Drosophila melanogaster: one gene and its partners. The protein of the gene in region 2 purifies or fractionates together with the protein of the main gene of each other region. This does not show direct contact. Each region holds a gene or a part of one and is shown on either strand. Other genes may lie near its edges. The genes, in order: CG9010, Rtnl1 and Syn2.

Region 1 (3,755 bases), on a different chromosome or scaffold from region 2:
CCAAAATGCATTCCCTACTAGATCCTGCGCGCCTGCGTCCGCCCACGACATTGGAAAATGTGCAGCCCAGCAGTGAACTTAAGACTGGACAGCACGCCAAGGTTAATCTGACTCTGGGTCTGCAGGGAGGCGGTGGTGGCGGTGGCGATGGTCCCGCCGAGCTAGCCACAAATCCTCTTCATCTTCAAGCACCCTCCGACAGAGATCTCATCATACGCAATAGAATTAAGACACCCACACTGGATGACATCATCGTAGAGGCGGACCACCATCAGAGCAGTGATGGAGGTGTCATGGAGGACAATGAGATTAAGAGTATATCATCAATGCAGTTTCAGCGGAACTCCAGCAATGTCTAAGACAATTTCCAAAGAATTCAGTCACTTTTTCTTATTGGCTTTTATGTCTGCCAGGAAAATATGGGTATACATTTTTTTGTTCTTTATTTATTTGTTGGAAAAAGGGCGAATAAAAGCCGATTGCATCCTATGCTATCTATAGTTTAGCCCATAAGAATTGCAAAATATGAAATCTGCGCCTAAAACTATGGTAAAATGGATTACATTACATTAATTTTTAAGTAAATAAAGATTTCTAAATATAAATCTAATTTAAATAAATCTAGACTTGGTTAAAAAAATTTTTAATTCTTTTCTAAGAGTTTCCTATTTCTTGTTCTTGCAAGGATCTTCCTATTTCTTGCAGGGATCATCCTTTTTTCTTACATGGATCTTCCATCTAGCAAGCACCCTTTTCCTTCGCATCGCATTGGTCGACCAACTGGGCATAGAGAACTAGGTCAAGGAGACGGCAGGAATATCCGGTCTCGTTATCGTACCAACTGATCAACTTGACGAAGTTATCGTTTAGGGCAATACAGGCCTTGGCATCAAAGACGGATGCAAATCGTGAGCCGTTAAAATCGGTGGACACCACCTCCTCCTCCACATACCCCAGGATTCCCTTCATTTCGCATTTGGATGCAGCCTTTATGCACTTCTTGATATCGTCCATTTTGGCGGGCTTAGAAAGCCTACAGGTGAGGTCCACCACCGAGACATTGGGAACTGGTACACGGAAAGCCATACCCGTTAGCTTCCCGTTTAGATCCGGAATCACCTTGCCGACGGCTTTAGCGGCTCCCGTGGATGCGGGTATGATGTTGGTCATGCCACTGCGTCCATCCCGCCAGAGTTTGCTGCTGGGTCCGTCGATGATCTTTTGGGTAGCTGTAGCCGCATGAACGGTGGTCATAAGGCCCTCACATATTTCAAAGTTATCGTGCACCACCTTGGCCAGCGGCGCCAGGCAATTGGTTGTGCATGAGGCATTCGAGATGATTGCTGTGCCCGGCTTGTATGCCTCAAGATTCACTCCGCACACAAACATCGGAGCATCGGCAGATGGTGCCGATATGACCACCTTTTTGGCCCCACTATCCAAGTGACCTTGACAGGCTTTCAGGGTGGTAAACCTACCGGAGCACTCCACCACCGTATGCACGCCCAGGTCGCACCATTTAATCTTCTTGACGTCCGACTCCTTAAGCAGCTGGATCTTCTTGCCATTAACAACAAGATTGTTCCCGTCGACAGAGATCTTCTGATTGAACTGTCCATGAGTGGAGTCGTATCGCAGCATGTAGGCCAGATACTTGGGATCCAGTGAGGGATCGTTGATTGCCACGATCTTGACATCTTTGCGAACTAGAGCCTGGCGGGCAAACATGCGACCGATTCGGCCAAAGCCATTGATGCCAATACCGGACATAATGGAATTCGACTTGCAGTGTTGAAAATTTTGTTGGTTTTTTATACGTATTATATAATAGTTCGACTATGTGGAAGGCTAAGATAGATATGAAAATGATTTCTGGCTACCGGCTACCCTAGATCTTTCCAGTTTATGAATCCCAGATGGATAGCCTACATACATACATAATTACACAGCCGGGTATAAATCAATCGAAATCGACCACCTGCCAAAGCTTCTCACGAAACAAAATTACAATAACCTTCGGGAACGCCCAATCCCAATTGTCTGGAGTCCCAAGGAAGTGGGTGTGGCTGCCAAATTGCTGCCCACACACATTCACGTCCATAGAAAATCCAGCTTCAAGGGTCATTACTCACCTTTGTGTGGAATGCCTCGCTCCTTCGGGACCCCACCCTTTGGTACACTGTAAGAAAGTAATTTGAAATGAACATGATAAAAGCATAAGAAATCGATCCTACATATGTATGTTGGTTTTTATGATGCATGTACAATGTTCAATACGTCGAAAAGTCCAACTTTAATTTTAACTGGCTTGTTTTACTTCCTGTGGTCGATAAAAAGAAAAGGAAAGTCCCTTTGAAAGTACCAATGTAACTAACTTTTCGGGCATACCAGATGACGGCCATCAGCCGTAGAAATTTCCATGCCCATCTGCCCCTTGGCCCATGACTTGGCTGGAAATATATTGAATTGAAGTTTTATTCGTTCGGCTTTTAGCAGAGACCCCACTCTGCTGTCGGCATTTCCGGGGGGTGTGGAGTGTGGGAAATCGGTCCTCAACTAGCTATGACAACTTAACTTTGTTGAATATTTATGATGCTGAAGCAACAGCAGGACGGCTGGCATGTTGCTGGCAACATGTTGCTGGCAACATTGGGACGCCCCCGCAGAAAAAAGTCAACTGAGCGCAAGGACCCTCTTGTATCTCTTGTTCTCTCTCTCGATTTGGCACGGAAAACTGGGCTCTCCGGGTCCTGTGTGGTGGGTTTTCCATTTTGGGGCCGCCGCTGATTACGAAATTGTTGCAGTAATCGCAGGACCCGCAGTTGCAAGCCCCGGATAGCGCCAGCCCCGATTCAATGTATCATTTATGTTTGAACTGGAGATTGGAAGGTGTCGTAAATGTTAAATGCCCCACATCAAATCCCATCAAATTGAAGTTTATTTTATGTACTCCGGTCGAGCAGTGGGGGATTCTAAGTTGGGGGCCCGGAGCCCTTGCAACTTTGTTGTGAGCCAGCTTGTTTGCTTTGGAGTCTCCGCTTTCATTCCAGTTTGCTTGTCCGGCGAGTGCTACTTGAAATTTATGCGAAAAACTTTCAAATTTGAAACTTGCCCGCTGAGAAATGGGCCACATAAGCAAAGGATGCAAATCCCATTTTAAGAGCGGCTTAAGCAGAGTTCAACCAAGAGTTGAAAAATTGAATATATGGAATAAATTTAAACACGAATCCATAATGGTAGAGTTAGGTGTAATTAAAACACCAAAGAAGATAAACCATAAATTATATTGAGGGGTGACATGTTATTGCTGCTAACGGATACCTAAACTTCGTAATGGGTACGAGTATCCTTTGGCCATATTAAAGACTTCAACTTTAAGTACTATCTACTATTTCGTGTTTGCTACAACATTCTTAATCTTAATCACAGTTTTTCAAGGCCCAACATTAAGAGAAATGATACTCTTTTTATATTAACTACTTTCAATCACGGTAAAAAAAAATAATGGTGTACTTTATCTTTTAAAATTATTTGGCAAACAACACTGCTCCTGTGGTTGATAAATATAATTTTATTGAATTATAGCCGCTGGACTAGGGAATTAAATCTTTACCTTAATAAATAATAACACTCCGGTTATCATTTCTCTTCGTGTGCTGGCGCACATAAAAGATCAATGGTAAATGCTCCTCCAGGGGCTCTTTAACTTGTTGGCCGGAACAGGAGCTCCACCAAAGTTGGTCTACAAGCGGGAT
Region 2 (3,755 bases):
ATTCAAATTACGACGGTGTACTATAATACTCGAATGACGACGGGAACACAACAAATTAATTAGAAACGCAATGATAACTGGTGTTGACTAGTTGCTATTTGCAGTGGCTAGACTCACCCAATCCGTATTTGCAGAAGATCTCCTCGACGGACGCAATCTTTGGCTGCGGCTGGGTCGATTCAACTGGCGCCACTGGCACAACCTTCGGCTTGGCCGGCTCCACCTTGGGTTTGGGTGGCTCTGGTTTCGGCTCGACTACGGGTGCGGCGATGGTGGGTGCCTTCGGCGCCTCCTGGACAGTGGGTTTGAACACCACCTCCTCGTCATCCAGGTCGGTTATCAAAGCGGTTGTCACGGGTACAGCCACTGGAACCGGCTGGGGTTTGGCAACTGGTACTGATACTGGTACTGCCACTGGAGCAGGAGCAACAGCTGGAGCAGCATCGAGAATGGGAGCTGGTGCGGGTGCTGGTGTGGGTGCTGAGCGTGGCTCCTCCTTAAAATCGCTGGCCAGATCTTCCGACGAGATGAACTTCTCGTTGTCCTGATCCTTGAGGGCATCTACAATGGGTTTCTTGGCCGGCGATGGTGTGTACGAGACGGACGGCGATTCAGTGTCGGAATCCTGGTTGGCCTTGGTCAATGGGGCGACAGGAGCTGCTGGGGCAGCAGTGGTTGGCTTGCCCAGGAAGTCATCCTCCTCGTCGTCATAGAAATTGGCCGTGGACGGTGCCGTTGGCTGGAAGGCCTGGAGTGGTGCCGATGGCTGGTCAGTGAAGCTGCCCAGGAGGTCCTCCTCGACAGGAAGCGGAGCTGGGACAGCAGGAGCTGGCGCCACTGGAGCTGGAACGGCCGGAGCATGATCGGGAACAGCTGGAGCTTGTGCTGGAATAACCGGAGCTTGAGCTACCGTCTCTGAGAATGGAGCCAGGGGAGCGGAGAAGCCCCGCTCGGCATTCATAAAGTCGGTGGTCAGTCCACTGATGCCCTGCTTCACCTCCTTGCCAGCGTCGCGCAGAAAGTCCTCGAAATCATCAGTCTTCTGTGCAAACTTGGTGTCCAAATCGAGTTTGGCATCCTTAGCGTCGGCGGCCAGGCGTTGGACAAACTCCTGCGCATCGCCAAAGTCCAACTTCTTTTGCTCGTTGGCGAAGTAGTGCTCCGTGTGGGCATTATCGTCCTGGGCACCACCACTCACATTGCCAGTATCGCCACCAAGTGCAGAGTCTTCGTAGGCACGTTGCGCCTGCTTGAAGATGTCCTCGTTGGTGGCAGCGGCCTCCTTTTTCAGTTCGTCGAAGTTCCGATCCATATTCTACAGTGTTTTGATTTCAAAATATAACACTTGTGATCAATAAGAAATTTTCACAGATGTGTTTGAATATCCTGGCCTTCTGATTGGAACTTCGCACACACACACACGTACGCACGCACACGACACACCCACACACACACGCACAGGCACCGAGCTACAGCTGATTTTGCCGGTTGAAATTAATATGATTTTTTTTAGCCGACTTAAGTGCCTTCTGGTGACTAAAAGGCCGCAATTCGCAGTGTTTTGTGCTCGGGAACGTTGAATTTAATTTGAACCACAGCGACTCTTTTACAGGCGCCGTCGATGCAGACGTTTGAAAAGTTTCAATGGACCTGCGCTAGAGGTGGCACAGCGGTCGATACTATCGATGACGCTCACAGCATAATTGCCTAAAAATGGACAAATACCTTGAACAGCCATGTTTCGAACCAAAGTTTTGATGTTGCCGGCATCTTTAGCCATGACATTAACCCAATGGCTCTGGCAAATTGGCTAAAATTCACGACAGCTAAAATTTGTTGTATGTATTTCCAGAAACTTCGCGCAATTCAGTTATGCCTAATGTTTGATTTATTTGTAAACATAACAACCATGCTCAGGCCGTCCACTTGAGGCAGCGCGTGTCCTGGTGCGTTTGCAGGCATCTAACGCAACAGTATCGCGTTCCGCAGGCGGTGCACGAGTACAACGAGAAGTTGCCGCAAACGGCGCAGAAATGCCGCAGTGGCTTTTGTGGAGCCGGCGCTGCGGCGCTCTCGTAGTTGGGCTGCTTGTCCTTGTCCTCCTCGAGCAGTTGCTGGAAGTTCTTGCGATACTTGACGAGAAAGTATTCGGCGCCCTTGCGCTTGCCTTTCTTCTCCTTGCCGGTCTTCAGGCTGTCCTGGAATTTGGGCAACTTCTTGGACATGACAAGGTCGGCGTGTGGGTCATCGTGGTAGTTGTCCTGCTCCAGAGCCTCCAAGGCTTTGCGGGCACGCCGCTGGCGGGCTGTGGAGTCCAGGACACGCTTCTTTTCAGCGTCCTTGATGCGGTTGGATTCGCGACCCGTCATGGTTGTTTTTAGGTTTTTACTTTTGGCTATTGGATTTTATGGGTTGTGTAGGTTCTAAGCGTCCTTGTCGTGCAGCGGAAAGCTTATCCGATCCATCAAGTCGTCCACTCGCGCCTGCAAAACTTCCACAATGTCCGTGGAGATAAACAAATGGTTCTCGTCCAGATCCTGGATAATGAATTTGCGTCCCAGAGCCAGTTTTTCGTCCAAGTGCAGCAGGAATTGTTTCATAGCAGGATCACTGCGGGGATTGGGTTGAATATAGCGAAACCAACGCATACCAAACGTATACCACTTACCACTCCACCAGCACTCCTTTCATAACATTTACCATGTTGCCAGCATTTGTTTGCCGAAATTAATAAACAATCTCACCAATTCTCAGAGCTGAATGACATATTCACAGTGAAACGTAGGCTAGAGGTGGCAGTCTTTACTATCGATATTTTTTTGACTTTACTTGATAATTTAATCAATAATTTCAGCATGGCAATATAATATTTACAATCAACGAAATATAACACATTGCTTTAAACCAGCACCCGATATTAACTATATTATGTTAGTTTCACCGTCGGAAGTTTCGTACTTTAAGAAATATAGCTATTTTGCCAGCCCTATCAGTGCTACTCACTACGAAAAGTAGACAGAAGTAGCGGGGTATTTGCCAGTCACACGGACAAACACCAAGGCAAAAGTGTGAGGAAATATTGAATTCCAAATTAAATTCCTAATTAAATCAGACCATAAGCACGCAATGGAAAGGCTGACCGGAAGGAATGTGGCACTACTGGTGCTGTGCCTGTGCGCCGGATACGCCCTGGTGTTCGCCGAGGGCGAGAAGGAGATACCGGTTACCAAATTCGGACAGAACATAGCGCCGACGATGACTTTCCTTTACTGGTGCGTTATATGCGGGGCAATTAACATAATTGATAACAATGACCTCTGTGTTTCTCACCATTGATTCGCCAAATAGCTACTCCTGCGGCTATCGCAAGGCGTTCGAGGACTACGTGGGCCTGCTGGGCGAGAAGTATCCGCAAATTCAGGTGAATGGCGGCAACTACGATCCGCCGGGTCTAAACTATTACCTCTCCAAGATGATATTCGCCCTGAAGATCATAATCATTGTGTCCGTGGTCAGTGCGGTCAGTCCGTTCACCTTCCTTGGCCTGAACACGCCCAGTTGGTGGAGCCACATGCAGGCTAACAAGATATACGCCTGCATGATGATCTTCTTCCTGGGCAACATGCTCGAGGCCCAGCTCATCTCGTCCGGCGCTTTCGAGATAACACTAAACGATGTGCCTGTGTGGTCGAAACTGCAGACGGGACGCTTTCCCTCGCCGGAGGTACTCTTTCAAATCATCGACAACCATCTGC
Region 3 (3,755 bases), on a different chromosome or scaffold from region 2:
CTGGGAGAATTTATACTGCCAAACTGTGGCGGATTCGGCTCCTTCGGTTAATGAAAAACCAGCTTGCCAGTCCAGCGTGAGTCCACCACTTTTTCCATGATGCGACACGGCAAAGGTCTTACGCTGAGGAAAATTAACATATAATTAGAGAGTGAAGGTATGCGATATAAGTGTAAACCTACGCCCAGTTTGATGACACTTGTCACAATGGCCGCATTCCAGCTGTTTTCGATTCTCAAAAGCTCCTGACGGGTTTCCACGCTCAAATAGCGCGGTTCATGACCCGAACTTTGCAGCAGGAAACAATGCTGACGACTATCCACGGTCTCCGATTCCTTGACAATGCGGAACATGGTCTGGTAGACCTTGTAGACCACCAAAGCCTTACTAATGCCAGCCACATTTAGCTAATAATTTAATAGAAAAAATTAGTTAAGATAATCGAAACTTATCGCAATTGATTGCTACTCACTGGTGGCGTTTCAAAGAGCATCACTTCAGTGCCTTTGAGCAGTAGAAACCTGGGCTTGTAGCTCTGCCACGATATATTGTTGTTAATGACACCTTCATTCACCCAGCCCATGTACTCAATGCGCTCGCCCACAGCAAAGTTTCTATTATATAGCTTCATCTATTGGATACACAATTGATTAAATTATGAATATATATGCCTTTAACTCTCCTACCTGTAAATGCGTCAGGCCCACAACATTGTCTGTTATCAATTTCAGCCACTGACTAAGTATGGCCAGTTCGTCACAGTGTATGACACCTGTGGAAATTCCATTCAGACCGCGAACTTCGAAGGCATTTTGTCGCAGCTTGTCGGTGCCATAGATGTACCTCGTCACATATGCCATCATTAGAGGTACTGCAAGGTGTAAATATATGAATTGATTAGCATTTCTGTACGTAAGATTTGAGATACATTTCTGTTATCTTAGGACATAATCAATGAACAATTTGTTAACCTATTTATAAATAAGGCTCACCGGCAACCACGTCGGTCCAGCGCTTCTCGGGCTCCGAGCAAATTGACATGGGGCGACTACAACTGCGACTGATGGTTCCACTATTGACGGATGACTTGTAGCCCTCGTCAGCCTTCAGTTCGGCACATGTGACATCGTTGTCCGAGTCGGGTGTGTCCTTGGTCACTGGGATGTTGAGGAGGGTTATTCAATCCTTATTTATCGTGCTATGCTAGCCCACTGCTACTCACGTTGTTTCTGAAGGAAAGGCGTGGCTGCGCGATAATGCTTAACAGTGAGCACAACAATATCGCCAGCGTTTCTCAATATATTGACGGCATCATCGTGAGGACATGCCGTGATGTATTCTCCGTTGACCTTGATGATGGCATCGCCAACAAATAGTTGGCCCGTTATGTCCGCAGCCTGATCCTTATAGATACGCGATATCAAAATGGGTAGTTTATGCTCGGCGCCACCTTTTATGCTCAGTCCTAGGCCGCCTTGTTTTTGGCGCGTAATTTGAACCATACGTTCCTGAAAGATGAATTATTTCATAAATAAGTTAAATGTTATAGGGGAAAATATATATATACCTTTGATTCCATGGGTGGTCCATTGGGGTGACAACTACTTGGTGTTACCACTTCCAGCTTCTGCAGCGAAAGCAACTCCATGGTAAGATTAAGTCGAAGCGGTTCTGGTCTGCTCTTGCCATCGCTCACGTGCACCATTCCAGTTCGCACCTAAAATATTAATAATTTAATATTTAATAGATATACATTTATAAATATGAAGAATCTTTGCGTTACCTTCAGGTTTTGGTCGAGTTTTTCTTCTATAGGCGTGGCCATGGTGTCAGAGAGCTTCATAATTCCTGAAATCATTCAGAGAAGAGGGATCTTGAGTGTGATTTATGATCTTAAATGGGAAACGTGCTTAAAGTGATAGGATTTAAAAATGAATTATGAACCAAAATAAAATAAAAATCCAGGAACTCTAGAGATTTCTAGAGATTAGTTTGCTATAATAATAACAAAATGTATCTTCAAGATATCTTGACTATACTTAAAGCTCAATCAATATTTCTAGAGGCGTTAAATTAAATGCGTTGATTGATTGAATGGAATGAATAATTTAGAGCAAAGGGTCTGAAAAGGTTGAAATGTTGCCTGATTTGTGGCAATAACGGGATGTCTACCCTTGTTACCAAATCGGATGGCCGCCAATCAAGTTGGCCCAGTGTAATCAAGCGATTTCTGAGAACTTTTCGTTTTTTTTTTTTTATTTTTAAACATAATCGTGGCCATGGCAATGGACTGCGAAACAACTGCAATCAAATCGGGAAGCCGGCTCCGTGGCCTTTATCGATTGCCATTTTATTTTTCCACTGAGCAGACAGCAGTAAGGCGAAAGCAACGCAATTGCAATCATCGCATATCGAATTACGTTTGCACACTGGCCCACCGATGAGCCGATAGTTCAAGGTGAACTGTGCAATTGCCTTAATTAAATTACACATGCAATTAGAAACAATTAAGCGTAATCAGGCTGCCGCAAAATGTAATAGAAGGCATATCTAGATGGAAACGATACATGGGCATACCTTGGCCAAGTGCGTTTTCTACGAACTGATGCCACGGCATATGTTTTCCATTAAAGTGGAAAATAAATATGCTACCGGAAAACTAGATATGAGTGAAAACACATTGAAGTGTGCCCCATCTGCAGACGTTGTTTGTGGTTTTCCCTGGTGCTGAGTGCCGAAGTGTGGCCGCAACTGCTCCTCAGGAATGGGAGGGTGGAATATGTATTTTGGATAACCACTTGTGCTCCATAAATAGGTGTTTTGCCTAGGGGGGGTTGAGAGTTCTTGAAGGGGGGGGGGGGAGGGTTCGATTTGAGCGCCAAATATGTGCATATGGTGCCAGCTAAATTGCCATCTGAGATTGAGAAATTCTGAATTCGAGGGGAAACACTTTCGCTTTAAACGTTTTCTGCGATCTGATTCATGGTCAAAGTGAATTCAATTGTTATTATTGTTAATTAAAAAAATTATTATATATTTTTAATGAAATTATGAAAGGAATAAAATCATAATAAAATGTTTAGGCCTAAGCTTACGTGTCATCAACAATGAGTTTTTGAAAATATAATAAAAATAAATATATAAAAACGGAATTATTTTACTGAAGCAACATAAAATAATTATAATTAAGGTAAATTATACATTCCAAAATCTATACAAAAATAGATCTATCAACCCAGAATGTTCTATATTGCCTGCAAGAGTTTCGCAGAGTGCAAAAAGTGTCGAATATTTGGACCATGAATTCCTGAATCCTTGGCATTCCGCGTGTCGTAGCAATTAGCTGCTGGTCAGGCCACCGACTTGGCGGAACACGCATACGCTCCGTTGTCCCGGGTTACCTTTGATTATGGCTTTATTATTACGTGTGCACGCTGCGCTGCCCTTTTGGGTGCGTGCTTCAGAGCCGTAAAACCGTGAAGCTAGGCCCAGAGTACTCTGGTTTTTTTTTCGGTGGGGAGGTGTCCAGGAGTGCAGGTCCTTAGCTTCAAACCAAACAAGCCAACATGTTCGGCGTGAGGCCTTGGACAATCAGCTGTGCCACAGCCACGAAAAGAGCAGCAGAAGCAGCAGCAGGCGAAACGTTTCGGGCTGTTTTGCCTGAAGTTTCAGCGATTGAACTTTTCTTTTTTTTTTTGCAGCTCTGGCTGTGAAGTAAAACAAACACACGCACACCCTCGCATAACCGATACTTT

What was found.
Region 1: the proteins of Rtnl1 (region 2) and CG9010 purify together in Drosophila melanogaster (affinity purification with mass spectrometry, with the first as the bait; 2 studies listed by BioGRID). This does not show direct contact.
Region 3: the proteins of Rtnl1 (region 2) and Syn2 purify together in Drosophila melanogaster (affinity purification with mass spectrometry, with the first as the bait; 2 studies listed by BioGRID). This does not show direct contact.

Annotation. Positions count from the first base shown.
Region 1 is NT_033778.4:16,958,326-16,962,080, forward strand, and holds CG9010 (uncharacterized protein), read right to left. Parts: upstream 1,871-3,755; 5' UTR 1,771-1,870; coding exon 739-1,770; 3' UTR 618-738; downstream 1-617. Other genes in the region: CG6665 (uncharacterized protein), read left to right, coding at 1-359.
Region 2 is NT_033779.5:5,008,064-5,011,818, forward strand, and holds the start of Rtnl1 (Reticulon-like1), read right to left. Parts: upstream 1,658-3,755; 5' UTR 1,313-1,657; coding exon 118-1,312; intron 1-117. Other genes in the region: CG31917 (uncharacterized protein), read right to left, coding at 1,914-2,369; Tfb5 (transcription factor B5), read right to left, coding at 2,424-2,610, 2,669-2,703; SelT (selenoprotein T), read left to right, coding at 3,127-3,272, 3,349-3,755.
Region 3 is NT_033778.4:16,552,721-16,556,475, reverse strand, and holds the start of Syn2 (Syntrophin-like 2), read right to left. Parts: upstream 1,890-3,755; 5' UTR 1,859-1,889; coding exon 1,784-1,858; intron 1,718-1,783; coding exon 1,568-1,717; intron 1,509-1,567; coding exon 1,223-1,508; intron 1,158-1,222; coding exon 993-1,157; intron 872-992; coding exon 687-871; intron 632-686; coding exon 473-631; intron 408-472; coding exon 183-407; intron 124-182; coding exon 1-123.